Linked DNA regions of Lonchura striata. The protein of the gene in region 2 binds, or shares a complex with, the protein of the main gene of each other region. Links are inferred from orthologs where the notes say so. Each region holds a gene or a part of one and is shown on either strand. Other genes may lie near its edges. The genes, in order: CASK, NRXN1 and LRRTM2.

Evidence for each region.
Region 1: the proteins of NRXN1 (region 2) and CASK are in contact, whole or in part, in a crystal structure (PDB 6NID), measured with the Homo sapiens proteins. The link is inferred for Lonchura striata from reciprocal best matches to the Homo sapiens genes NRXN1 and CASK. Residues at the interface, in NP_001317021.1 of Homo sapiens: Lys468, Glu469, Tyr470, Tyr471, Val472; in NP_001354650.1 of Homo sapiens: Pro500, Met501, Gly502, Ile503, Thr504, Leu505, Lys506, Ala516, Arg517, Val549, Gln553, Leu556.
Region 3: the proteins of NRXN1 (region 2) and LRRTM2 are in contact, whole or in part, in a crystal structure (PDB 5Z8Y), measured with the Homo sapiens proteins. The link is inferred for Lonchura striata from reciprocal best matches to the Homo sapiens genes NRXN1 and LRRTM2. Residues at the interface, in NP_001317021.1 of Homo sapiens: Leu139, Val158, Thr160, Arg236, Gln237, Leu238, Thr239, Ile240, Asn242; in NP_056379.1 of Homo sapiens: Asp343, His344, Gln346, Gly347, Glu348, Leu351, Asp352, Ala353, Gly356, Phe357.

Annotation. Positions count from the first base shown.
Region 1 is NC_134604.1:110,081,359-110,090,935, reverse strand, and holds the start of CASK (peripheral plasma membrane protein CASK), read left to right. Parts: upstream 1-5,781; 5' UTR 5,782-5,881; coding exon 5,882-5,940; intron 5,941-6,046; coding exon of another isoform or gene 6,047-6,187; exon of another isoform or gene 6,188-6,204; intron 6,205-9,577. Other genes in the region: uncharacterized protein LOC110474871, read right to left, coding at 6,047-6,187. UniProt on the Homo sapiens protein: Multidomain scaffolding Mg(2+)-independent protein kinase that catalyzes the phosphotransfer from ATP to proteins such as NRXN1, and plays a role in synaptic transmembrane protein anchoring and ion channel trafficking.
Region 2 is NC_134605.1:21,540,751-21,550,758, reverse strand, and holds the start of NRXN1 (neurexin-1), read left to right. Parts: upstream 1-5,777; 5' UTR 5,778-5,796; intron 5,797-5,841; exon of another isoform or gene 5,842-5,968; intron 5,969-9,639; 5' UTR 9,640-10,008.
Region 3 is NC_134617.1:16,784,955-16,794,629, forward strand, and holds the start of LRRTM2 (leucine-rich repeat transmembrane neuronal protein 2), read left to right. Parts: upstream 1-5,712; 5' UTR 5,713-6,111; coding exon of another isoform or gene 6,112-6,137; coding exon 6,138-6,141; intron 6,142-6,470; coding exon 6,471-8,020; 3' UTR 8,021-9,675. UniProt on the Homo sapiens protein: Involved in the development and maintenance of excitatory synapses in the vertebrate nervous system. Regulates surface expression of AMPA receptors and instructs the development of functional glutamate release sites.

The DNA.
Region 1 (9,577 bases), on a different chromosome or scaffold from region 2:
TTCTCAAAAAGTTTGCTATCCAGTGTGTGTGTATAATATTTTTTTGAAAGTAGGTTCTGTCAAACTACTTTCCCACTTGCTTTATAGATCATCCCTTACTTTCAGTAGTGTGGGGTTTGAAGAACAACTCAGTTTTCACCTTCATGCTTTTGCAAACCTCAATATACCTTACCTCAGGTGTCTTTGCAAATTGACAAGTCCCAGCCTTTCGCCCTCTCTTGCAAGGCACCTGGCTCATCCCTGGGTTGTTTTTGTTGCCATTCTCTCTCCTTTGCCATCTTCCTGCAGATGGAAAGGCCTAAAACGTCCCAGCCCTCCAGCTGTGGGTGCACCAGAGTTTTATGTGGAGGCAAAATAACACTTTCTGCCTTGTTTCCATGCCTCCCCTGACACACCCAATACTGCCTTGGCTTTTTCTTTTTTATTTTGACTGTCACTGCACCCCACAGCAGTGGTTCCAGAAACTGCCTGGCTGAGTCTGAGGGATCTTTCCAGAGTTGCAACCACCAGTTCCAAGTTCAGCATCCAGCAGGGAGGGTGTAGCTCAGGATTTCCTCTCAATGAAGTATTCCCTGCCATTTATCTACACCAAAGCTCCTCTGGGCATTCGCTCAGCTTTGTGGGGCCCTTCTGGAGTTTCTATTAGGTTGGCACCTGTCTAGTCAAAAGCACTTAATAATCTTGTACAAAAGACACGAGAGTGATAAATGCAAGAAAAAAGGAAATAAAGACATGAAAGGAAAATAAAAGGGTAATTAGTTTTCTTTTTTTTTTTTTTTTTTGGTGCTAGTACTTTGCATTTTGATATTGTCTTTATAATGTGATTTTTAATTATTTTTCTCTATGTAGGTGCATGAATGTAGCATATGGTTGCAAATGATGAAACGATAACTGGAATTTTTAGTTGGTTTTATTACCTGGTTTTAACCCCTGTAAGACATTTTTAATTTAAGAAAAATTCAATAAAAGCATCCTGGAGAGATTTCCTCTGCATTTATTATAATTTAATCCATACTCATCAATGAGGAAAAGCTGCAGCTGGGGAGAAATAAATAAACACCTCCAGTAATGAAATCAAGACACAGCTACATGGTACACAAGGAAGGGGAAAATCAGCAGAATGGCAAGGAATAACTAAAGAAACTCCATTAAATAAGGGTTTGTGTAATTTTAAAGTATTCCTCTCTCTTTTGATGTTGTCAGCTATTCTTACCTGGGACTTTTTCACCTTTGGAAGTTGATTTTGAAAGGTGACTTGTGATACTTCTGAAAGTGTCATATTGGGTCAGCTTTGGTCTAGTTCAATGCCCATCTCCAGTAGTGTTACCATAATTTCTGTTTAATTATGAGTGCAATCTAATTCCAAATGAGGAAAGTGACTTTTTCCCTAGAAAAAACATGTCTGGTTACTGGCCCTGGGTCAGTGTGAGCCATGTCAGAGGAAGGGGATGTGGTCACCATGTCTCAAAGGCAGTGAAAGCAAATTTCTTATTCCAAAGAGACACCTCTCAGCCTGCTGGCCAGGGAAAAGAGGTTTTGCCATGTTCACACTACACATAACTTTTCCAGGAACTTTTGAACCTGGCGGTCAATTTCAACAGAATTAATCAGGGGCAAGGTACAGATCCCTGAGATAAGCTCCAACTGCTTTTTGAAGAGAAGTGGCTGCAGAAAAGAGACCTGGTGGTGGCTTCAGTGAAGAAAAGTGACAGTGAGAGTCTCCTTCTCACCAAGCAATGGAGAACTGACACTGTGAAGGAACTTAAAACCAACTCCACTGGGGGGGAAAAAATGCAGCTGGAGATTTATCTTGCCAGACAAACATCACTCACCTGTTAAGACAAGCATTCGTGGGAAACCCTGCCTCCTTAATTACAGTGTGGCATAACTTGTGTGCTACACCTGAGCTCTGCAGCTGCAGCCTACCCTGCCACATGGCAGATTCTGAGCTGATTTAATTACAGACTTTTGCAAGAAATCATTCAGACCTACTCCAGGTCAGCTGATGGCTTTTGAAGGCTCTTTTCACTAACAGTTTTTACAGGGACTGCAAATGTCCCTGTAAAATATCCCTGAAAATGTGCCTGTGATCAAAACACTTTTCATTTCAACCAAAACATGTTTTCTACTGCCCAAAGTATGAACAATTTTCAGCTCACAGAACTGACCCACCTAAACAATATGGCAGTTTGTCAGAAACCCGGTAGGCCTGCAATATTCTCTTTTACAAAATACTAACAGCTCATACTCATCTTCAGTGTCATTCTCAAACTTTTTAAGAGGGAGGGAATTAATATCTGGGTTACAGATCAAGTACCCAAGACCCTGTTACAATTGGAATCTGAGGAACAGGATTTGGTGCTTTCTACATCTGTGGGATAACAGAACGCTGTCAAACCACTGAAATTTCTTGTTCTTCTTCATCGTGTACTTTTTACATCAAATTTTAAATGAAAACACAAAGGCTCTTTGGATAACTGATAACTACTGCTCCAAAACCAATTTTTGAACAACTTACCTGTCCTGTGGCTCATGCTGTGCGGACTGTATGCGAAAACCCCAGGTGAATAAAATTTGAAAACCCCACAAAATTTTAAGAAATAAGTTTTCTAGTGCCCGAGCCCACACTCAGCTACTCCTTAGCATTTTTTGAATGCAAAACTGGTTAACCTAAACATACACAATCTTAACCAGCCTGTCCAGAATCTGGCAGACAGGTAGCTGAAACACGTGCAGTGCTTTGGGAAAGGCTACCAGGGGCTGTAGGGCATTTCCTCATGTGAACACTCAGTGTTCTCTTACTCTTGCCTGATCAAAAAGTCCCTCTCCCAGCTCTGAACCAACTGATCTGCTTTCAGACCATTACCTCGCCAGTAAATAATTTCAGGTCTCAAGTGCAAAGTCACTTCTGCTCGTATGCCAAACATTATGGTTACACACTTTTTGATGAGATGTTAGATGTATGTATTTCAGAATTATTAATTTAATCCCACAATCTGTAAGGATCCACACTGGATAAATGGGTGAAAATCAAAAATGCTTGCTTACGAAAGGGAATGACTACTTTTGAACGTGTGGCTGGAATTTCTGATCACAAACACACCTGCAAATGCTCTGCTTGGATTATCATGCTACTGGGTCCTTCTGGCAGACCAACGCTCATATTTTCCTGAGCCCATTCAATCTGAAACAGAGTAACAGCACAATTCTCAATTGTTCCAGTAACTGCTGATGCAGTGGCATCTCTGCTGCATTTACTGGCTCACTGTGCAACTTTTTATGATCCAGATCTACACCAAAATCCTGGTTCAGACAGATTCTCCTCATGCAACTCAAACGGGAGGCAGCACCCATGTTCACTCTTCCCCTGTACTGAGTGAGGACAGGTTTGATAGATCCACCTTGCTTCTTTTGAGCCTAGTGAATGCTAAGGCTGCTCTAGGACCCCTCAAGTCAGCCAGATGCCTACTGGCATTCCCTGGATGCCAGGGAATGGATCACCTCTCTTCAGCAAAAGCTCATTTTTGTTCTGTGTCTTCCAACTTCCTTCCCAGGATCACAACAAACCCCCAGCCTGTGCCCCAGGACCTTGTACTTTAGCAGAAAGCCACATTTATGTGCTGCCTATTCCCAAAACCAACACAAATGTCCAATGAAGGTTTGCTCTATGACAATATTTTGGCACAAAGGCCCCCATATATTATGCCTGGTAAACTTTTATTCAGTTTAAACTGTCTCACCTGGGCAATATGGCCTGGTGTGACACCAAGCACTCAGCATCCAGAGGGAGGCAACACCTCAGGTGATGCTGCTGGAGCAGCCAAAGCATTTGCCCCAGCTCAGGAAGAGATCCACCACCAGCAATTTTCTTTCTTGTGCACTTTTGAATTGTTTTTTTTATGTTAACTTCTCATGACGGCTTCACAGACAACTCCAGCTCAAAGTCTAAGTGAACACTCACCCATATTCTAAAAATTCTTTCTGAGTGACCTGTGTGGGACTCAGCCTTGTGGGCCTGCAAAAGGAAAAAATGGGTGCCCACGTTTAGCTGTGTGAAATTTAGAGAACGGTTTAAATATATCAGCTTTTTGTTTGCAGTCCAAAGAGCAGATGGTGGTTTAAATATTTTTCAAAGGTTTGTATGGGATGGAGCACAGACCCACAGGAATGTCTCTCACCCTTAAGATAGCACTGTGCAGTGATGTAATTATTAGATATAATTAGTTAGATGTAATTAAATAGATGTAATTATTTTCACTGGTTTTCTTATTTTTTTATTACTTTTAAATTTTTTCTGGAGACAGGAACAAGGTAAGGTGTTGTCAGCTCTACGTTTTAAAGCCAACCTTTAAACCATTTCATCAGATAATTCTGCTCTGATAGTTTTTTTTTCCTCAGTCTGGGGAACAATTCCATAATTTACCTCTGTTAATGAATTTTGGGAAGTTGCACGTGTACTACTGTACCTTGAGAGAAATAAATACTTTCTGTAAACTGCAAGAGTTCCCGACTAAACCCTTCAAGAGAGCTTTGCTTTCTTCAACAAAACATCCAAGTTTTCAAAAAACTTGGAAAAGCACACACGTGCAGCATGTTAAACACCATGGAACAATGAATGGTGCGAGCATGGGGTGATTTAAAATCCACCCGATGTCTCCCGCGCGTTGTTCCGCGCGGCTGGAGCCAGCGGTGCCCCGCACAGCTGGAGGAGCGGCTCACGGCGCACTGCCACAGGGCGAATTCACTGTTTTAGGGATAAAGAGCGGCTCTCCCAACAACACAGGCGGTCCGGTTCGTGCCGCAGAAAACACTTGCATCCCGCTGGAACACACAGAAGGGAAAATAAAGCACGGGACAGAGCCGTGCGAGCCCGGCTCGCACACGGCTTCTTCACCGCCACTGCCCGGTTTCCTGCGAGCGCGCGGCGCGACCGTCCCCGTGCCGGCCGCGGGGTCGCTGGGGGTGACGGGGGCGATAATGGCGATAAAGGCGATAAAGGCGATAAAGGCGATAAAGGCGATAATGGCGATAAAGGCGATAAAGGCGGTCAGGGCCGCACGGGCGATAAGCGCGAGCGGCACCCGCGCCCGCGCCGTGACGTCACACCCACCTCCCCCTCCCCGCGCCATGACGTCACCGCGCCTGCGCGAGCCCCCTCCCCTCGCGCCTCCCCGGACCCCTCGAGCGGGCGGTTGGGGGCGTGGCTCGCCGCCCCCCCACCCCGCGCCCCGCGCGCGTGCGCGCGCGCGCCCCCCGGCGGCGCCCGCCCCCGTGACGGGGCTTGCGTGACGGCGGCGCCGGGAGCACGCGCGCGCGCGCGCGCCCGCCCGCCCTTCGGTGCCGCGAGCGCCTATCGCGAGCGCCTGTCGCGACCGCCGCCTCGCCGCCGCCTCCTCCTCGCGCCCGGGAGCGGAACCAGCGCCCGCGCCGGGGCTCCTCCCGCCCTTCCCCCTCCCACTATTATCCTCCCTCCCGGCGCTCCCGCCCGCCCGCCCGGGAACGCGCGCCCCGCTCCCGCCCGGCGAGGGAGTGACCCGGCGCTGCCGCCCGCCCCGATCCCCTCCATGGCTCCCGCGCCGCCCCGCTGAGCCGGAGCCGCCCGCGGGAGCCGCGGCTGAGCGCGGGAGGGAGGGGGCGGGAGGGGGGTGGGAGGCGGGGGCGCGGGGGGTGCGACACGCGCGGGGAGCGGCGGCGGCCGCGGCAGGAGGCGGAGGAGGAGCGGCAGGAGCGGGGAGTCCCGGCGCGGCCGCGGGAGCCCCGGGCGGGCGGGCGGCGCTGGGAGCGGCCGGGATTTACCGTGGTGGCGGTGGGCGCTGAGCGGCGGGGGAGCCGGGCGTCCCCGGGGCCGCCGCCTCTCGGGCTGAGCCCCCCCGCCCGGACCATGGCCGACGACGACGTGCTGTTCGAGGACGTGTACGAGCTCTGCGAGGTGATCGGCAAGTGAGTGCGGCGGGGAGCGGGCAGGGCAGGGCAGGGCTGGGCGGGGGAGCGCTGCCCCGCGCCCCCCGCCCGCACCGGGCACCGGGATGCTCCGCCCGGGACCCACCTGAGTCGCCGCCGGCGGGTCCGTGCGGGGTCCGGGTCCCCCACCCCGTGGCCGGTGCCCACCGTCCTCGTCACACGGGAGGCGGAAGGGGGAGAAGTGACCCCATGTTTCCTCAGCCACCATGATTAACCACCTCGCCATCGCTCAGCCTGGCTGCAGCAAGCGGCAACCACTTCCCACCCCTTTTCTTCTCCTCCCCCCCGATATCCCATTCCTGGCACACCCATCAAGGATTGCCTCTTGGGGAAGGGAAGGGGAAGATAGCTCTCCGTAGATCCACCTATTCACTGGGTGTCTTCATATTTGTGCGCCAGGTGTTGGGTTTTCCTCTTCTTTGCTGCATAATAACCAGCTTGGTAGTGGCGCTCGGGTAGTGCTCGGTTCTCGTCCAGATCCATCACTCTGGTTTTTGTGGAAATGGAGATGTACAAGGCAGGAGGAGTGCTTGGCCTTTTGAGTCTTATTATGCAACTGCTGTTAAACCGATGCTCGAGGCTTGTACGAAACCTGGGAGTTGAGGCTCTGGCTGGCGTTACCCAGCTGCTGTTTCGGGTTACCACTGTTGGATGAAAATGACAATTCGAGTCACCAAGAAAATGCAGAGACTCCCCCAAATCAGATGGCGATAAAGAATTAAAGCTGAACTCCATTCTCCCCTGCCCCCGTATTTCTGTCACTGCTCAGTTTTGAAATGCATTCTTTATTTCTTCATCATCTTTCATTTATTTTCTCTAGTTGTGTCTGTGTTGCAAAACGGACAGCAAATATACAGTAATACTGTGACTACCTAATTTTCTGTGTGTCTGATTCCAAAGCTGAGATTGCTCTGCAAACCTTAATAGTGATACTGTTCAGTGTGCTTGGAGTTTTTTCTTCGTGACAATGGATTTTATGAGAATAATTGACCGTGTTTTGGTTATAAACAAAGAATGTTTCCTGCATGTATTCTCTTGCCCGCTCTCCACCCTGATGCTTTTCAGTGTACATGGAGTGCTGTCTGCTTCCAAAGCCAGGGCTAAAAATATTTTAGAATTAATCTTTTCTCGGGATTATGCTGAAATGTTGGTCTTGGACATAGCAGGTGGCTTTGTTGTCAGCAGAAGTTTCAGCACTCGGTTCTGTTGTTTCACAAGACACTACCACCTTGCTCCTAACACAACTTTTAAAAATATTAAGCTCCAAGGGCCTTGTTTGCCATCATAAATGGAATATGATTGCTTTGACTTGATGCTGTTGAGGAGCAAAACTCTTGTAATTGAAGTGTTTTGAATACAATTTTTGGCACACTCCTTTCACAAGTGGTTTTATGCTAACCACTGCAGTTCACACTCGGTTTTGTTCCTGCCCGATTGCCATCAGGAGGAAGGTGCAGTGCTTATGCATGACCGCAAACCCTTTCAGAGGATGGATGATCGATTCGCAGGGGGCCAGATGTTTGCACATCTCCACCGACTTTTTGTTCCGCGGCTGGAGAATTTCGAAGGGAGAGCTGAAAACCGGTGGATTAGGTGTTAGCTGCAGAAGTTCCACACGAGATTTGGGTAGTGTAGAGGGTGTTGTGATGTAACTAGATCTAACAGATAAATATTGAATCACAGCAGCACGATGATGCCAAGAACACTGTAGCAAAAACAGGGTGTATCACTGAAAATAGCAACAGTGGTGGTGTGAAGGGCTGATAGCTGGTAGTGATTACTCAGGTTTTTCTGAACAGATGTCAAGTCTGTCCTCTAAAAAAACCCAAATATTTAAAATATAAACACACAACTGTCATGTACAATTTATGAGTGGTATTGCTATTTCTTTGCAATGCTATACAGGTAAATTCCAAGGGACCAGAGGTGCAGCATCTTTATTTAGCTTATAGATTCTGGGTACCACCTTGCTTGTCCATAAGAAACTTCAGGAAAGCTGCTGTAAATCTGCTATGAATGGCTACATATGCATCTGACCAAACATCTTTCAGTGAAATATACACTAAATGTCTGCATGTCCCTGGGATTTGTTATTGATTGGTACAGTGATTTACTTCTTGCAGCTAGCACATCTGGCTCTGATTTGCATTTTGGACACATGAAATACTAAAATGTGTAATTTATCTTTCCTGAATAGATAGTTACCACTGTCACTTAAGGTAGTAAAAGGTATTTTCATAAAGGGTGTGGGAAAGAGGTCATTGCCTGTAAAACGTCTTGAGTGTTTAGTCAAAGTTGCCATACAATTTGCTAGAGAAATCAGGAGATACTTTCCTGGCTGACAGTAGACAGTCCAATTTGTTGAGGCATATTCTGATCTTTAGGATAAGCTTTAAACACTTCTAAATACAATAAACTGATAAGACTGACTTTGAGTAAATGCAGCAATAATAGCTTTTGGTGAGGAACAATTACAGGGTAGTAGTATATGAATGAAGTGATGGGAATGGCAATGATAAACTGTTTATTATGTGACATTTAGTGTGTTTAAGTTCTGCAAGCATGCATTTTTCATTTTTAAGGGGTGTGGGTGGAAAGAAAGGCCAGGAAGGATAGAGAGAAATTCTAGTTCATGTTTTCATTAGAAAAAAATGTTAGGGGAAATCTTATTTTGCATGTATTTCCAGTATACCTTTCCATTGCTGAAAGCTATATGAAGATACAAATTGGAATAACAATCTCAATTTCTCATTGAACTTTTTAAAGTGGCATTTATGGCACTAACATTAGTCATGTATTTTTACTTAACCAAACGTGTTATGTTTGAGGTTACTCTCTTCAACTGGCACAAACATTCTTCAACAAGAAGTAAGTTGGGGATTTCTTTATTAGCCTTCAAAAATGTGTTGACATATCTCAGGATAAGTGATAGTGATGAAAAATACAAGTGTGCCATTTTTTTTCTAACTTGTTTCCAGGTGAGTTTGAAGAGATTCTCTCTGTGTATTGGTTGAGAAGTACACAGTCTAAAATCTTTAAGGCTGTTCCTATGTGGATCAGACCATGTGTTTGATTGACAGCTCACAGATAGTATTGCTAAGTGTACTTGTTTATTTTTTATTAGAATTTTCATTCAAAATGCTTTGAGTAGTTTATAAAACATAGTAGGTGTAAAATTGAAACATCTTGGCTACTCATCCGAGGTGCAGACTGTTCTAGGAGCTCCACATACATGTAGCAGGAGTTTTCTTTATGCCAGAGAGAGAATGCCTGTCTTCAGTAGGTGTTGAATCTAGAAGAGTGAGGCAAGGGTTTTATGATAGAGCCTTGTTCTGCAAGGACTTTATTTTAAATTACCTGGTTTTACGTTTCTGTACCTCTTAAGATCCATATCAGTTTATATTAGCATTAGAGGAGAACCATAAAGATTGTCTGACCTTTCTAACAGTAGGACTTGCTTAAAATTTCTCCAAATGTTTAAGTTGTAAATACAATGGGATAAAGATGATAGGCATTTATTTGTGTTTAAAAGGGCTTTGGTCACAATTGAAGTCATTAATCCTGGGGTGCATTGGGAAGAACATAGCTGGCAGGTGAAGGGAGGGGATCCTGCCCC
Region 2 (10,008 bases):
CTTGCTATTCATTGTTTTTCAACTTTTGGGAGCTTTGCAAAGGAGTTTGTTTTTTACTCAGAGCCCACACTACAGAGACCACCCAGAAGCTTGCCTAAAACCTGGGGGTCATGAACTCACTAATGTATCCAGGCAGCTCTGTGAACCCAGCAAAGAGAATGAGGAATGTGGTGACGATGATGAATGGCTTTCATGGAAATTTATACAAATTATACACAAATGGCATTCACATAAATTCCATATAAATTATGCAAATTACTTGGGAGTACGAATTTAGTGGGATTTTTAAAAGGAATTATGGGAAATTTTATAAGTAACATTTAGAAAAGTCTGTTAAATGTTAAGAACTTTGAAAGAAATATGAAGCAAAATATTTTAGGGTTTAAAATAAACTCTCTTGGGGAGTGCTACAAAATATTCATCCCACGTCTGCCTATGGTGGGATTTCTTACACATTTCATTCAAGGAAGTGATTTCACAAACAGTTCTGGGATGAAATGAGCTTCCAAGTTCCTTTGGTGAGTGTTGTTTGTTCAATGACAACACGCAAGAGTTTGCTGCTCTCTTCAATTCTTCTTATCTAAGATTGTCTGTACTTTCCTGCTTCAAAACTTTCCTGCTTAAAAACTGCTGCAAAGCATTAAAAGGCAAGCAGTTGACCTAAAGAAGACCTATGTATTCTAAATTAATTATTTTCTTATATTTTTGCAGTCAAAGGCATTATTTGCAGTGTTTACGTGCATTGTTCTTAAATACAAATCTATAAGGATGTCTTTGAGATGTATCTACTGCTTGCATTAATATTTGTATATGTTATGCCACATTACTGCATAGAGATTCAGAGAAAATGACCACTTTTTTGAGACATGAACATGAGGGCTTATTTGAAATTAATAAAGTTATTATTATGAAATTTACATTTTTTAAAATCACAGTAGTGATGTACAAATCCTTACAAAGTCTTATATAAAGAAAATCCTGCAATCACCTTCTTGTTAAGAGTTAATATGAAATCAAATGTGCTTTGGAAGCCAGTGGATTTCTCCATTCTCTGTTTCATCATGCTTTGTACAGCTAATCAATACCATTTGCCAAATCCAAAATATTTATTGAGAAGAACATTTTGCATCACTTTGACTTTCTTCATGGAGCTTCAGTGAGACAACTATTGCTACGTGTGTCATACCACAGCCCCTCTGAAGGCTACTGAGGATTCACCAAGAGGGCTGGCTGATAGATGAGATTTTGTACAGCTCAGAAAACCTAACATGGGGTATTTCATTACAGATTTCTCTTGGCAATGTGTACTGCTGTGCACATCAGCCAAGCCTTGTGTGTGAAAGTGCACTGCACCTGCAGCTCTGAGAGTCAGAGCCAGCAAACTATAGGGTTTTGTCATGAATGATGTCTTTTTATATGCACTTTAGGGATATTTGAGGTCTTGGTAGCTTCTGTATTCTTCACACTATAAATTATGGTCATTATGTTATAGGAATATATCGTCACACAAATCAAGTTTTTCCTTTAATGGAAAAAAAAAAGAAACAAACCTAAATCCATGTGTTGGATATGCAATTCTGAATCAGTAATAGAAATTTAATTCAAAGTCTCATACATGTTTCATATACACTTAAATACCTTTTTTATGCTTTGAACTATTAAAGTGGTCTGTTTTTCCAGTGTTGCAAGCAATTTCATGCAATGAAACTCCAAAGCCAATGAAAGGGAATAAAAGGCATCCAAATTAATCTCTGAATCATCTCAAAGTTTTCATCTTGGGGATCAGATTGAGATTACTATTAATTTTCTTGAACATGTTTCATGTTAAGTTGTCACTATTACAGCAAATACAAGAAAGCAGTTCTTTCCAGGGAGAAATGTGTAAGCCTTGAAATTGTGGTTGGTTGAGATTTTTTATTGACTAAGACTCCACAAATATGTTCTGATCCTCAGATATGTTTATGCATTTTCCTACCATGTTTGCTTTCCTTGGATAAACTACTTTTGGACCCACAAAGCCACCTAAAACTGCATAAGTTTCCAATCTTCTCTTCATGACTAGAACATTACATCACTAAATACACCTGATACCTTCTGCAATAGCAGAAGACTGGGAAATATGATTAAATTCCAGTACTGAGTATAAGGTCAATAAATATTTTAAATCATCATAGGTGTGCTCCTGTACTTTATTATTTATCCATTCAGAATTAGTATTAAGCAAGTTTTTAACACCTTAATCCTCCAAAGTTAGTTATAAGCTATCTCCAAAAACTCATTATCTAGAGAAACTATCAAATCCAGAGAGTTGCCTCTCTGTTCCATTTTCTGATTTCAAACATGTCTCAGTCAAATACCTTCAGTACTTTATTTCATTATTTGCTGTAATTAATTTTGTTGAACTACATGGACTTGATTCTCTCTTTTACTTCAAGTTTCTAAAGCTTCAAAATTTTCTTTAATTACTTTGAACTGAGCAATCAATGACCTATGTAACACACTGGCTTTTTCCAAGGCAGGTATCTTCTAATTTCTCATTTTAGATTTGCCCATACTTGATTCATCCACATCTGAGTAATATGGCAGTTAACAGGCAGAAATTACATCTTTTTTCTCCACATCTCTTTAAACCTCACTGCCTGTATGCAGATACAGACAATTGCATACAGCTCCCTCAGTTCTGCTGCACGTCTACCTTGTCCCATTTGTTCCTCATTCCAGACCAAGTTCAAAAAACATTATTGAATTGTTAAAAAAAATTGTACTGACTCTCTTCCAAAAAAACACTTCTATTCACACATGCAAAGGGTCAAATTTCTGGTGGGTCTGAAGCTCTTCTCAAAGATTTGATTTGGTATAGAAGGATTACTGATGATAGTTTCAAAGCAGGGAAATATGTCAGGCATATGTTGCATTATTATAACCAGAACAGAGCTTTCATGTGTCCCCAAAATCCAGCCACTCCAATCCCAAGCACTACCCACGACCACTTCAGTAAAGAAACAGGTTTATTCTCTTCCTGTTATCTTCAGTCTCAGAAATAACTTTCTCCCTTTTCATATCCTTCTCATGCCTGCCTAGATAGCCAGTGTTCTCTGGAAGAACTTTTAGTTTGATTTTAATTGTGGGTTTTGCGGGATTTTGTTGTTGTTGTTGGTTATTTTGTGTTTTATTTCTCAGCAGAATCATTCTTATTTCTTCTGCAGTGCCTTGACTGGTTCCTTCCTTTCTTATTAGCTCTGACAGCCATGGCAATTGCATGTGCGTGCCTCAGAGACAGCTCCAGCACTCACTGCAGCTTGCCAAAAGATCTCTTATTTAAAATTACAACCGTTGGACAATTTCACATATGTACTTCAAAGGCACTTTGTTCTGACAATACACATCCCTCCAAAAGGTCTCGGACTTGCAAGTTGGATAATGTACTGCGTTCTCCCTGACAGAAAATAATTGGTTTGTTTTCAAGAAGATCCTTGCTGTTTTTATCTTTTACTTTTCCAAATCTATAAATATTTTGGTATAAAACAGAATGTTAATTTATGCAGAAGACAGTCAGGTTTCTGTAAGGCCATGTGTTTCTTACAAGATATATCATATATTTGTCAAGCTGAAAAACCTACAGAGATGGTATGGAAATCATATTTCGTTTTTTTTTTCTCCCTCTTTCTTGTTTTTCTTTTTCTTTTTTTTTTTTTTTTGTGCTGCCTCAAAATGAATCAACTATGACACCATATGCTGCAACAATTGCTGAGAATGACAAAAGTAATATATTTTTCTCAACAAAAAAGCACCATTAAATTAAGGAAATTGTATTTCCCTTAAATCTTCCTGTATCTTCCTGGCTCACTTAACATCTTGTTGTTTTATTTCTGTGTAGGCTCCTGCCAGCCTTCCTCTTACTGTGGCAGGCTTCCTTCTGGAGAAACATGAGCATACTCTGGCTATTGCTGGAATAACTGAGATGTCCTTCACTTTAAGGGAGAAGGTGGAAGAATCCTCCACCTGTGCCAGAATCCTCCACCTGTGCCAGCACATTCAAGGTGCATTGGCCTTGGACTTTGACATTCCCCATCTAACAGCATAAGAAGTTCTCCCTTGTGCTCACTGTGAGCCTAATAAAATAAAGCTACAGTTAAAAAATATTATAAATATATAATGTGTACACATTATATATATTATTATATATACATATATATGTATACATATATAGACAGACGAAAAAATAATATCAAGTTACAACTTTGCTTCTTTAAAAATGTGTATCACTTATCATGTTTCACCCTACAATTTATCTGCTTTTCATAGCAGAAGAATTATTTGCTCCTTGCTCTGCTTGAAGGGGTCAAGTTACTAGAATTATCAAGAGAAATCCTCACTCTGTTTGAAATTAACTGGATGTGGATATCAGTTGGCTGAACAAAAGGAATGTTTGATTATGCTGTAAGCACTTAAGATACATTGCATATCTAGGAAGCTTTTCTTCTCATTACTTAACATGTTGCTTGGTTACTTCATCAAACTTGTCGTCTGTGAGGAAACCCATTTCATCAAGAAAAAAATAAACCATAAAGCTAACTCCACTGGGACTGAAATGGAAGAAAGGCCTTTTATTTATGCTTATCTCTGAAGTTTCATTTCAAAACTAAGTTGCTATGTTCACACCCCAGATATGTAAAAATCTAATTGCACAGACCATTCTCAAAAAAATTGTGTCATGCCCCATAGAGGAGTGCTCTTCTGACCCTCGGTGTGACAAACATCACTCCGTGTGTTCCAAAGTTGTCAGGACCCTCGCTAAGGATTCATGCAAATCCCTTACAATCCATTCTTCACCTTTCTGTAGGCCACAGGTACTAAGTTAGAAGGCCAAGAGATAGAGATAAGGTTTGGCACGATCAAACACTTCCCATGCCACTAAACCCAATGATCTTGAGAAGCGCCTGGAATTTCTCTAACAGTTCACCACCATTTGGAGACAACACAGAGGCAGGTAACTTTTATGTTGGAAAATGGCTTTCCCAAGCATTTCTCCTGTGGTTGTGGCAGACGTGGTCCTTGGCGGCGCTCTGCTGATGAGATTATACCTGAGTTTTCCCAGAAGCTGAGCAGAATTCGGCAAACCTCAGTTCCGGGACATGAAAAAAGATGACAGAACGATAATGATAATAAAGATTATTATAATGATAATTAGTAGTAGTAGTAGTGGTACCACCAAAACAACAACAAAAGAAACCCAACCAACCAACCAACCCTCGCCAAACTGAAAGAAACCACCAACAAAAGAAGCCCCAAAGAAAGAAGAGCTTTGCCCGGGAAGCCGGCAGCTCCCTCTGGTCCCTCGCCGTGTTGCACCAGCGTTGCAGCACCTCTCCCTCTGCCCATACGACCCCTCCGACTCTCCCCAGCCGGCAGCAGCGTGCTCGCCCCCCGCCCCGACCTCGCTTCTCGGCGGTGCCGCCCGGCGCAGCCTCCCCCGCGCGGTCCCTCCATCCGTGCCGCGGCGGTGCCGGTGCCGGTGCCGGTGCCGGTCCGGGCGGGCTGTGTCGGGCCGGGGCGGGGTCCGCAGCGCGCACGGCGCCGCCCCCGGCGGGCAGACGGGCGCGGCGGCGTCACGCGGCGGTGCCGCCCCCCGCTCCCGGCGGCCGCCCCCGCCCGCCGCCGCCGCCGCCGCCGCCGCCGCCGCGCACCCGCAGCAGCGCCCGCTCCGCTCCGCTCCGCTTGGTCGGCGGGCGGCAGAGGCAGCCCCGGCAGCCGCGCCCTCCCCGGCCCGGCCCCGGCCCCGCGGCCCCCGCGCAGGTAAGGCGCGCCCGCAGCGCGGGCGGAGCGGCGCCGCGGAGGACCAGCCCCGCTCCGCCGCGGCGGAGCCGCTGGTGGCGGCGGTGGCGGTGGCGGCGCGAGAGGCTGGTGGGTTTGCGTGCGGCGTTGTGGAGAGGTGGATGGCGAGGAGAGGAGATGGTGGAGCGGAGGTGTAAGTTAAAGGTTGGATGCGGTGATTTATTGCCCCTTGCCGAGGCGAGGGGAGGAGGGGAGAGGGGGTCTGCGAGACTTGAGCGATAAAATCAATCTGCTGCATGTTCTCCCTGGCGTGAGCTGCCGTGGTGAAACGCGAAGCCGGGGCAGCGATGGGATATCGCAATATTGTTGTTATTTATCGGCGGCGGTCTGAAAGAGACGAGGGGCTTGTGCGGGAAGTGCATTGATAATTTGGGACATTTTCTATTGTGTGACAGAAGAAAGAGGGCACTCGGCTTCTTCGATACGTGTTTGAAACTGTTCAGGTTCCTGCTGATGGTGTGCATTTTTGCAGGGGTAGAAATTATATCATAAGCATATTAAAATAAATACATCTGCAGACTGGAAGGAGAGCAAAATCGATCATTCCAGCCGCTTTGGAAAGATTTTGATTCTAGAAATTACGTAGAAATGAAAGGAAAAGATTAATGATGCTGCTAAGTCTGCTTTTGAATTAGAGCGCTTCTCCCTTTGGCTGCAGCAAGGTTGTTTTTCAGATCCTTTTATTTCATCCGGTAATTTGTGAACTCTGGTCTTCCCCGCACCCAGAGACAATGCTCTGTATTTCATACAATAAGGATTCTGCCAAGGATTGTGCATGCCAACCGACCTGGCATTTATTAAGGATTTATTGACCTATGGGTGTCTCTCTCTCTCTCTTTTTCTAATTTGAAAAGGCTCAATCGGGGCACCTGTGACTAAATCATAATTTTGGAAGAAAATAAAATGGTTGTAAAGGGGTGGGGGAAGCATACGAATTCACTGGCGAGGCTCTGAATGCAATAGCTACATTTATATTGGTTTGTGCATATTTCTCGCTACATATGTGTGTGTTCATGGATACATCGCTGGGAGGGACGCCTGGTGCTTAAGAGCCATTTGAGATAGATAGATACATAGATAGGTATATTTTAATAAATTGTCCTCTTCCGAGAATGACAGTGTCCCTCTGCTTTAGAAATGACTAGACTTGACTGTGCTGTTTATTGGCAATGTGTGAATTATATGGGCAGTAATAAATAAGCAATTATTTGCTGGGCTATTTTCCCCTTGGATCTTTCTCCTTTCTTTTACAGTCATTCCACCTCGTCTTTTTTTTTTTTTTTTTTTTCCTTTCCCTCGTTTTTTTTTTTTTTTTTTTTTTTTTTTGTCTTTTTTTCTTTCCCTTCCCCGCTCTTGCCGCCGCTGCTGCTGCTCTGTGTGTGTGTGAGTGAGGGGGCAGGCAGGCGCTGCAGCCAGCGGCAGGCAGCGGGCAGGGATGCTCGCGAGGTGGGATCCCCGCGCGGCGGCTTGTCCGCGGACACCTGTAGGGATCGCTCTGGCACGCACGGCGGCCGCGCACACACTCACACACACTCACACTCACACCGCGTCCTTGCCTGGCTCCCCCTACCCTCCTCCCCACCCCTGACAGCCACCACGGGCTCTTGGCAACCTCCCGCTCCTGCGCCCCGCGCACAGAGGCGCAAACCCCTTCTCTTCCTCCGCCCCGCTCCTCCTGCAGCCGCCGCGCCCGCCCCGCTCACCTTGCGCCCCCCTCCCCGCCGCGCCTCCCGCGTTCCCTCCCCACCGCCCCTTCCCCCGGGGGCCAGCCCAGCCCCAGCAGCTGCCCGGTGACCCCCGTGAACACACATACACATAGGCACACACACACACACCCCGCGCCTCTTCCCCACTCACCCGTCTCCACAAACCTCTCCTTTCCCCACTCATCACCTCAGGCACTCCTCACACATAGCCCCCTCCCTCCTGTCTTTGTCCCCGGGCCCGCACGCCGTCTCTCACACCGCCAGCCAGCACCCGGCTCCCCGCACCCCCACACCCCCCAAACCCGCCCCATCACCGCCTCCCTCCCCTCCGCCGCAGCGGGGCCCCGCGGCCTCCCGCACGCCCCCTCCCCGCCCCGGGCGCGCCCCCCGGGCTGCCCCTGGAGCGCAGCCCCGGCGGAGCGCGGGGGCAGCGGCGGGGCCGCTGGGGCTCGGCGGGCGCCGCCGCCCCGTCGGGCCGCGCAGGGCGGAGCTGTTCCGGGTGCTGAAGCAGGAGCTGCCGCTCGGCGCCGTGCCGCAAGCCAGCGGCGCCCCAGCCCGCGGCCACCGCCGCGCCCGGGAGGGCCCTTTGGGGAGCGGGGTTGCGGGGGCTCCCGCCGCCGCTCCTCTCGGGAGCTGCCGGAAAATCCCTCGGCTGGTAGCGGCGTTGTCAGATGTGGCTCCTGCCGAGGGGCAGGGAGGGCGTGGGGGAAGCCTGGGGTCTGCCTGCTGCTGGTGGGCACGCCTGGCCTCTGCCCGCGAAGTTTGGGGGGGGTGTTCTCCTCTTCTCCCTTTTGCTGCTCTTGCCCACCTCACGCGTGGCAAATAATAAAAATAATCGTGTTGACATTTAGAGGAATGAAATTAAATATAGAGAGAGTAGGAGGTGACTTAGCAGCTCTGAACGTGTCAGGTGCAGGCAGCTGAGGTGTGTGCCTGTTTTTAAAACGTTTCTCCCTGGCAGGGTCATCTCTGCCCCCTCTCCCCACACACGCATATACACACACACACGCACACACATCCCAGCCCAGAAAAGGGCTTGGCAGCAGCTCTGGCCGTGCTATTGTGCCTGCCGAAGTGCTGCTGGCAAAGAAACGTAAGGGAGGGGAAGGGGAAGCGATGTGTGAGGGAGGTGTTGGAGATCCTCTCCTCCATCAGGAGAGGTCTGCTAATACACAGCTTCCAGAAACGATACAGCAGCCCTGGGGGAGAAAAGCAGCCTGTCCGCTGAAACGTTTTGGATGTAGAGACCTCTTCAGAGGATAAGGGTGAACTGTGGCATATATATAATTTTGAAAACAGAGGAGTTATTCTCTCCTTGTTCTCTTAAATAAGGGCAGCTGAGTAAATAGACATAAAATACTGCAACCAGTTTCAGAGGACTAACACCTGGGATTAGCTGATCTGCGTTGTGAATAATGTCAACATCAGAGCTGGCTTGAATTGGATTTTCCGTGCCATAGCAGAAAATACCAGCCCCAGAAGAAACCAGGTAGCAGAGAAAAAAAATGTTTTAAAAAACATTAAAAAAATGCAAAAAGCCATCTAAGAAATTATTGCAATTCTTCCTCACCCCAGGAAAAATAAACCAGTAGGTGTGCCATGCGTGGTGGAGCTTGTCAGTTCCTGCTGGGAGCTCAGGCCACTTTATTTTTTTGACCTGTATTAGAAACAACCAGAACTAGGCTTGGTACCATTGTCCGTATGACTAGTACCTTGTAGCTTCACAGGTGATGGCATTTGCACAAATAAATTAAAATTAAATAAATTGCAGAATAGCCACTATCTTTTCTGTTTGACTTTGTTCTTGTAATAATAAAATGCACTACAGAAATATTTGAAAGTTTTGGAAAGGTAAGTAGTTTACATTTAGATTATACCATAAAAATGTAATCTAGTATAAACATATGTGTTGAGATTTGTCTTTAGCGCTGCAACCTATCACAATTTCTCAGTGACCTGAAAATTACAGCAGCATTTTCCTAATGTCCAACACCAGTCAAAAAGAAAAAATAATCATAAATGTTCGCTATTGATCAACTTTGTGATTCAACATGTTATTAGTTGTCATTTCTTATTATTCTGTTTCAATTCCTTGCAGATTAGAAACAAAAACAATAGAGGAAAATCACCCCCCTGGATCTTAGCCTTGGCCTTTTTCAAGCACGGAGAAGAGGAGCTGCCAGGCTTTGCATGTCAAGTGGCCACTCGGCTGTTTGACAGCTTCTGGGTTTGAACCCCGTTGGGATTGAAGCAGCTCAAGCAACCACGAGCGATGAGTCCTGTCGTCTGCTGACGCTGCTCTAGCACCATGGCAGACAGGCTGTGATATGACAAGAGGATCCATCCTAGGGAGGCAGCGTTTGGATCCATAATTGGCTTCCTGGGAAACTACAGCTGGTGGAGAGGATGTAAAAAGAGGCGCACATGTGCCAGGATATTGCTACAGCCTTGCCGAGCTGGTGGATCC
Region 3 (9,675 bases), on a different chromosome or scaffold from region 2:
TAGCACAGAAAGAGCTGTAGAATCCAGCCCCACTAGATTTTAGGAAGGCAGCTTCAGTTTATTTCCACCTTGCTGGCACGCAGAAGTTTTAGCACAGAAGCTTATCAAAAGCATGGCCAGAATTAACTTCAGAAGGCTGCAGGATAAAGTACCCTGCTAATTTAGCTCTGGTGATTTAGCACATTGAGTCACTAATTGGGATCCTTTGTTAGAGCTGAGCAGGGGCAGAGCAGAACAGACCCAGGACACCTCAGTGGATACACACACCCTGCTTCCACTGACATTTTAAACCATCACAGCCAACTCCAACCAAGGTCCTGGAGACAACAATGTTGAATTTTGCCCAGCTGAAGTTTCCTGACCATTTTTTCCCCTGCATAATAAACACTGTATTTCCCTGCTACATAAACACTGTGGGGCCAACCAAACCCCATTAGGACCTGGTGGAACACATGAAAACCTGCACAGCCCATGGCAGCACAAACCCTCCTGGGCACAGAAATATGCTGAGGTACTGTCACTTTGTCCAGGCTGCCACACATGTTGGGAATTTTACCCATTGGTTCCACCCTACAGTTCAAAAGTCCTGTTTGAGCTGGGCTCCCTCTCTCAAGCAATAAATCATGTTTTAAAGGCTCCAAGTGCCAGTTTAGCTCTTCTGGGTAATTTGTTCCACTAATCAATTAGCCTGACCATTAAAAACTGGTCCTCATGTCTAGTGTGAACCTTCACTGAGGAGCTAGCTAATGACCCAGCAGCACAAGGCAGCCCAGCCAGCAGCTCCTGCTATTCATGGGATTAGGAGGACTCACAAGAGTGAAGCCCAAATATTCAGATTTCTAATAGGATTTTTAGATATTCAGCACAAAACTCTGCTGAGGGAATCACAAACCCTGCAGCCAGTGAGTAGCTAATAGATTCAGTAGATTTAATAGGGTCATGATGACCATTCAATCATTCTGCAGTACGATATCCCAACTCTACCAGTATCATGGATAATAAATTTAGCCACGGTGCAAATTTACTTTAAATTAAATCTGATCTTTATCAAAGAGGATAGAATTGATGTTAAAAATCACTCATTTCTCCCAATCCCTTCATCTCTGCTCTTCCCCCACCATTGCTACCCTGCTTGCAGAGCACCACAAGCATTCCCTGTCACATCCCTGCAGTCCCAGCTCACACCATCATCCCCAGAGGGGACTCTTAATGCTCAAAGCAAAGAAAGGGGATTTGTACACAGGGAGGGGAGCAGAATCACCATTTCTGTCTTAAAGCCTTCCTGCTGTAGGTGTGCCATCTGAATTCAGACAAGCAAAAGACAAACCCAAGCTTTTCCTATAGCTATGGAGGTTAAAATCCAATCCCAGCTGATTTATAGAGGTACAGGAGCATGGTGGTGGTGGTGCATTCCACCAGGATCAACAGAGCATGTGCTGTAACCAGCTACTCAAATATATGTTCTTGTAGCTAAATATCACAAACATCTGCTGTTAATCTTAAAGGTTTATCATCAGTTTGGGTTAAGCTGAGCCCACAGAGGTATTGAGGGAGACTGCCTCCTGCTCAGCACCAATTCACACCATCCCTGCAGAGCCCACCATGCCCCCTCCCCAAATCAGCACCCAGATGTAAACCAGATGTGCCACTGCTGAGAACCACCACTGTCCCACCTGCCACCCCTCACACAACCACCAAAAAGGACGGTTGGCAGAGAGGTTTCTGCTTCAGGTGTCTGGGAATTGACTTCTGGGCTGTCAGTACAACAGGCAGCATACTGATTAATGACTGGGACTGAATAAGTTACAAGTGAGTGCTCGGCACACCTTCCTGTGTGCAGGCAGTGTGTCACTGTGAGTCACAGTGTGTCACTGTGCCACCTCCGAGCTCTGCTGCCAGGGGACACAGGACATCAGGGCTCGGGTGCATTTTGTCCCATGCTTGGTTTTCCTTGCCACCCAGCCTAATTCTGTGTCTACAGAGGATAACCATGCACCGCCCTCCATCACTGTGACAGCACGGCTGCCAACCAACTCCAGCTAGAACAGGGCTGATTCAAGGCCAGGCAGTGTGAGCACTGAGGCGTGACCCACACGAATTCCAGCAGTGTTTTCACATCCAAGGTGTGCTAGGAGGAAGCAGGACTGTGCCCTGGTTTGCTGCAGGAGGAGCTCTCTACAGCCAGCCCACAGCTCAGCAGAGCAAATGGGCTGCATGGCATCATCCAGGCTTCAGCAAGAACCTGAGTCACAATAAAGCTGCTGCACTGCCCCCCTGCCCAGCGGGCCATGCCACAGCACTGCCACCCTGACATCACTCCCCATGGCCAGGGAAGGGTGGCTCCTGTACTCACCCTGCCTCAAGGAGGAATTACGAGCAGTGCCAGGTGCAGAGAGCTGCCAGACAGGGAGGTGACAGCCACCATGCTATGCCACCACATGTGCCCTTTGGTCCCATGAAGACAAGGACACCCAACCCTCAGTGCCCATCCCTCCCACTGCCCTGCCCCAAAGAACTCTGCAGCTGGCCTGAAGCCCTGGGCACAACTCTGCTGCTGGGTCACCTCCAACATGCCTTTGTCCCAGGTATCCCCTCCTAGGGCAGCGAATCCAAGTGACAGAAGGTGCATGGTGACACAGCCACACGGCCCTGCTCACCTCCTGCCTCACAGCTCTGTGACACAGCACAAACACAACCTCCTGGCCAAAAAGCTGCAAATCCTCCCATGGTCCCCAGGGTGCTAACACCCAGCAACAATTCCCACGGCCACTCCTGCAGGCAGAAAGGTGAGCTGGCTGCTGTGCAGTGCCACACACGTGGCTGCCTGTCCTGCCTGCTGCAGTCTCAGTGCAGCTCCCGGGCTTGCACCCTCCAGGCTCCCAGCACAGCAAAGTCACGCAGGCCCCACATCTCCATCCAGAAAAATTAGCTTGTATGTTGTTCTTAATAGACTAGGAAGGCTTCCACAAGATGTCAGCCTAACTAAATGACAACGCTCGCCTCAGGGTGCAATTCTACTTTCCCAGCACATGGGTTTAGCAGGAAAACCAGTTGTGCTGCTGCTCCATGAGCGGGGTAGGTGAGAAGCCCTCAAAAGGGTTATCTGGTCCCAGTAAGCTTATTCCTGCCAATTCCCTGTCCACATTGCATATGAGGGTTCAGGCTGCCATAAAGTTCCTGCTGTGGCCGAAGCGCGCGGGTAGCATCAGATATGGTTTTTCATGCTGGGCAATGAGTATTCAGGCTCAGAAGAAATGCATTTGCATGAGTTTTGGGGGTTTTATTCCCAGTCTGTTGCACCCTGACACCCCAGGTAGCTCCTAAGGAACAATGTGAATGTTACTGCAGTGTTCCAGACTTTGGAGACTGAGATGCACACCTGTGGTAATAACTGTTATTTCACAGCAAGTGCACATAAAAACATGTTTTGCTAAGAAAAGCGCCCATAAAGTTTGTGTTAACAGTTTCCTAAACAGGAAACTCGCTGGCAAGGTGCTAAATAGCCCTTGTTTGGTTAAGGGCCAAAGAACGGAGAGCTTCAGAAAAGGAGCAACTCACCGTATTTGAACATTAACTCTTAACTCTGTGCCAAATTACACAATCTTAATGTGGGAGGAACCTACCAGCAGATATTGATGCAAAAAAGCAAAATGTTTCCAACGATACCTAATGTCAGCCTCCTGGTAAGAGGGAAAGAGGCAGCACTGGGGAGGGCTAACAGTTGACCTTAAACAGTTGTCCTTAAACTATACCCTTTGGAATGCTGTTGGTAAATGTTATGTAATATATTGAAATGTTATTAGAATTCAAATCAACACCCTGGATCAGGGTGTTGCACAGAGCTGATCCAAGAAGCCTCCACAGGTGCTGCAGAGCCACGGTTCTGTTGGACAACTGGAGCTGAGCCTGAGCTCTTTGTACCCTGAACACAGACAAGAAGAATCTCTTTAAATAGGTTTACGTAATTTCTTTGCATGGATTTCTTTCACACTGAAGCAAATGTGAAAACATTTACTATGGCAGAGCAATTTAAGAAATTTATCTAACATTTCCTAATTTGCTTAATAAAGACAGTTACTTTCCTGATGGGTTCAGAGTAGGGTTTATTTGTTTTGCTTTAGTGTTTTTTGAGGTTTTTGAAATTTTATTCTTGTGCGTTCATGTTCTCCATCCCTTCACTTTCCACTCAGTAATCCCCTTGAGTCTGCCCATCCCAGTAAGGAAGCAGCACAGGCAGTGTCACCATTCCACCACAGGACAGCCAAAGGAGAAGCAGGCAGAGAACAGCAGGTCTTGGTTTAAGCAAGGATCTCCAAGGAACCAAAGCAAGGAACCAACACTTAGTAACAAAGGTAAACAGCCATTTTATTTTAAACCCTTCTTTTGACACAATTCATCTTACTCCATCATCATGGGAAATTTGTTATTCTCAGTTCATTCCAGACCTTGGAGGTTAGAGGTGATACCTCACTGCTACACAACAAACATTTTCAAATGCCTCCTCTACATTATTGCTTTATATCTCACGGAGAAAATTAAAAAAAAGCTTATCCAAGTTGCCTGGAACAGGAAACCAGCACCCCCCTGCTGCACCCACATCGAACTATGACCAGAGCAGTGGCTCCAAAGGCTTTACCTGCACGTGCATCTTAAAAACATATAAAAATGTCAATTGAACCTGGTCATTTACCTTTCAGTACCAGTTGTCCCAGAGGAGAAGTTGCTCTGAAAAATGGGGCAATGAACCTTTAAAGCAAGGAAACAGCCCTAAGAGCCCCCTGTCCTCCTGGCTGTGTGTGCACGCTCTGGCCAGAGCCCAGTGGGGCTGGAGAGCACACACACTCTGCAGGGGCACATCTGCAGCCCTAAACCCCCAGGGTAACTGTTACAGACCCATCCTGCAGCCAGGGGCTCCTGGAGGTGCTGTCCCCCCCTCTAAGGGGGACACACAGCAGCAGGACATTGTGGGTGACCACAAGGAAGCCCTCGCACAGCTCTGAGCCCTGACTGGAAATACCAATCTCATCATTTCTGCCCTGCACTCCAGCGCCCAGGAAAAAGCAAGTATAAAACCCACCGTTTGGGAGGAGAAAATAGATTTTCTAGTTTCATAACCACACACTGTCAAGCTGGATTCCAATTAAATTTTTCCTGTGCCTTAACGCAACCTTTGCTTTTTCCAGAAATTTCTCCTGGCTTGAAGCACTTGCTCCTGTGCCCTGCTCCTGGGCTGTACTTCCTGACACTCCAGCTCCACCACTGCTCTCTGCACTTCTGCAGGAACCACAGTCACACACAGCTGTCACACGGAGCTCTGAGCTGCCCAGTCTCTCTCACCTCCATGAAAGCCAGTGCTGACCAGCATCCTCTATTCAAACTCTGCGCATTTTGCAGCTCAAAGTTCTTTCATGCAGGGAGATTTAGCAGAAAAGTGGGAGCAGACAGCACTCGGGCACTTCCATCCGCGGCTCTGCGCTGCTTTTAACCCCAGCTGAGCAGAGCCGGCGCAGATGTGGGGGGAGCAGGGTGCTGCGAGTCCCTCCTGCGCCGTCTGTCCTGGGGACGAAGGACTCCTGCCGCTGGATTTTCCCCCTCTATCAGTGGTCTCTAACACGATCACAGCGTGCAGCACAATGCTTTAAAACAGCAAAGCTTCTGGAAAACCCAAACAAAAGGAACGTCACCAGGTGACGTCAGCCTATATAGAGCCCTGTGTGGTCGCAGCGCATAAGCAAATCCATTCTTGTACCGCTTCCCTGAAAAGCTTTTCAGTAAATGCACTCATGCTACTACAGGAGCTTCTCTCAGCAATAAGCCACCCATCTGCCATCAACAAGTTAGGACTAAAGGAACCCACAGCTGCGGAAAAGGAAAACGTGAGCTTCAATTAACCAGCTGAGCAGCCACAGAGGACGAAAACTTGTATTAAGATTTAAAAATTGCAGACCTGTCAGAGGAGATCAAGGCAGCAATTTCAAAAGGAATATTCCAAGAGAGCATCGTGGATTTTGCACTAATATCAAAGGACACTAAACCCAGTCAATTATTCAAGGCTATCTTACATTAGAGCCTTTCACAGACTCACGGCGTTGAGTCTCAAACTACGACTGAATGCACCCTCCAATGTACTCAAAAGAATGGGTAAGTTCTTGCGTTTCTCTGTTCCTTGTATAATGAATGACAGCTCTGCTTTAAAGGAGCAGTTAAGATGCTAAAGCTGATTCCTCAGCACTGAACCTTATGAAAAAAATGTTTTCCGATAGTGCCCTCCGTAATCGAGATAAAGCCTCCTCCTAAGTGTAATAATGTCCAAGTATTCGGTTTGTTGTAGTAAGTTGTTTCTTGCATTTAGAATTAGCTTGTTGGAAATGCATGGCAATGTTATCTGCAGTGAAATCTTCCACTGTGATATTCCAAGTGTACTGATAAGGCTATCCTATCTTGTTGTTTTCCTAAATTATATTCTGCAGGCTTACATTTCAAGTGGCCATTAGGGGCTCGTATGCTGGCAGCACTATATGCAATGAGTATGGTTTTAAAAATGCTGCCTGCCTTGGGCATGGCTTGTCCACCAAAATGTCGCTGTGAGAAGCTGCTCTTTTACTGTGACTCTCAGGGGTTTCACTCAGTGCCAAACACCACTGAAAAGGGCTCGCTAGGTTTGTCACTGAGGCACAATTATATTTCTGAACTTGAAAGGGATCAATTTGCAAGCTTCAGTCAACTTACTTGGCTTCACTTAGATCATAATCAAATTGCAACAGTCAGAGAAGATTCTTTTCAAGGACTGTATAAACTTAAGGAATTAGTCTTAAGTTCCAACAAAATCTTTCATTTGCCAAACACAACTTTTAGCCAGCTGCTTAACCTGCAGAATTTGGACCTCTCTTTTAATCAGTTATCCTCTCTGCACCCCGAGCTCTTCTACGGCCTTCGCAAGCTACAGACCTTGCACTTGCGATCCAACTCCCTGCGGACCATCCCGGTCCGCCTGTTCTGGGACTGTCGTAGCCTGGAATTCCTGGATTTGAGCACAAACCGCTTAAGAAGTTTGGCTCGCAATGGATTTGCGGGATTAATCAAGCTGAGGGAGCTGCACCTAGAGCACAACCAGCTGACAAAGATTAATTTTGCTCACTTCCTCCGGCTGAGCAGCCTGCACACACTCTTCTTGCAGTGGAACAAAATTAGCAACTTGACATGTGGGATGGAGTGGACCTGGGGCACCTTAGCAAAGCTCGATTTGACTGGAAACGAAATCAAAGCCATCGACCTCACCGTCTTTGAAACTATGCCTAACCTTAAAACCCTCCTCATGGATAACAACAAGCTCACCACTCTGGATTCCAAGATCCTGAGCTCGCTGACGTCCCTCACCACCGTGGGCCTCTCTGGCAATCTGTGGGAATGCAGCCCAAAGATCTGCTCCTTGGCCACATGGTTGAGTGGCTTCCAAGGTCGGTGGGAGCACTCCATCCTCTGCCACAGCCCCGACCACACCCAGGGAGAGGATATTCTGGATGCAGTGTATGGTTTTCAGCTTTGCTGGAATTTATCGACTGTGGTTACCCCCGTGGCTACGACGTCGTACACAGCTCCAACTACCGAGTACACGAAAAGAATAAGCTCTTCTCATTTCCATGTGGGAGACAAAGAGATTCCAACTACAGCAGGCATGGTCGTTACCACCGAAGAACAGTTCCCCGAGCCAAACAATGCCATCTTCACTCAGAGGGTAATTACAGGAACAATGGCTTTATTGTTTTCTTTCTTTTTTATCATTTTTATAGTGTTCATCTCCAGGAAGTGCTGCCCTCCCACACTAAGAAGAATTAGGCAGTGCTCAATGATTCAAAACCACAGGCAGCTCCGATCCCAAACGCGGCTGCATATGGCCAATATGTCAGACCAAGGACCCTATAACGAGTACGAACCCACCCATGAAGGACCCTTCATCATCATCAATGGCTACGGACAGTGCAAGTGCCAGCAGCTGCCCTATAAAGAATGTGAAGTATAATACCTACAGCCCATCACAAAGTAAATCAGATAAGTAACCTACTTGAAAATTGTAGGGACCTACATCAGATTCTAATTTTTACAAATGTTGACATAAAGCCTAATTTTCCAAGCTACTTAATGGAAACATTGTTTATGGAGTGGTGCAGTATTTTTAAGTTTTTTAAAAAATAAATCCATAATATTTTCAGTGTTAAAGAAGCAATGATTACATTCAACTTGCACTCCTAATGTTTAAAAGTCTAAAGAGATGCTCACCTCAAACAATGTAAAATGTTTAATGTTATGTAATTATATGACTGTGTGTAAACATTTATACCTGAGTCTCCATATTCTACTTTTTCTACTGCAATCAGTTTTATGGGAAGGAGACTGGATATCTGTGCAGGGATCTGTGGGGGACGTGCGCTCCATTTGTTCCACTGCAGCTGGAGGATCCCAAACACTGCAGCTGGCTCCGGGCACTTTAAGAGCAGCCCGGGAGGAAGATTTTCCTCCTCTGAGCATTTCACTCCAGTAAGGGAAGGTAGGGAAAACAAAAGGGAAAAAAAAAATAAAGAGGAACAAAGGTCCAGGTGGGAATTTCAGTGCATTGGGGTGAATTTATCTGAAATACGGTTTTGCTCTGTGCATGTTCATGGCTCAGCTTGCTAAAAGGGATGGCAGGCACAGAAAGGAGCAGTTCACACAGCACACACAGGGACACACAGCCCCAGACAGGATGTGCACAAACACAGGGCCACACAGCCCTAGGCAGGATGGGCACACACACAGCCCTAGGTAGGATGGGCACACAGCCCCGGCAGGATGGGTGCATACACAAGCATGCACACACACAGAGTTCCAGGCAGGACAGGCAGACACACAGTCCCAAGCAGGATGGGTACACCTCCAGGAACAGGATGGGCACACACACACACACACAAGAGCAGGATGGGTACAAACACAGCCCCAAGCAGGATGGGGACACACACACACAGAGCTCCAGGCAGGATGGGGACACACACACACAGAGCTCCAGGCAGGATGGGCACACACACACACAGAGCTCCAGGCAGGATGGGCACACACACAGGAACAGGATGGGCACACACACCCACACCCTCCCCCCCCCCCCCCCCAGGAGCAGGACAGCCCTTTCTGTGAACCCAGATTGGCACTGCAGCTTCTTTAGAGAGGCTCAGCACGCTGAGATCGATTGAAAATATTAAGTACATTCAGTCCTCGACTCCCTGGTTTCACTTGATGATGCTTTTCATGAATTCAGGCTAATTACTTAATGATGATGAACAAACAGCATTTCAGCACCTTTTCATGTGTAAATACCCTTAATGCAAGGTTCTCTTAATTAAAAGCAAATATCAACAGCAAGGTTAAGGAGAAGAGGGAAGGAAGAAAGGAAGGAAGGAAGAAGCCTCTCTTTGTCCCCCTGGTGCCCCCCCAGCTGAGGCTTCCTCTGGCTGGGAAGCTATTTTCATGCACTAACTCCACTGGTTTCTCTGGAGACAGAATTAGCCCCTGTAATATAAGCTCTCACTTGTCCTCCTCTTCCAAAATTCAAGATAAAAAAAGACCCCTTCTGATAATTTAGGAGAATATGATTAGTTTATAGGATAGTTCACTGAAAAATATTTTATTTCTTACTCAATATGGGAC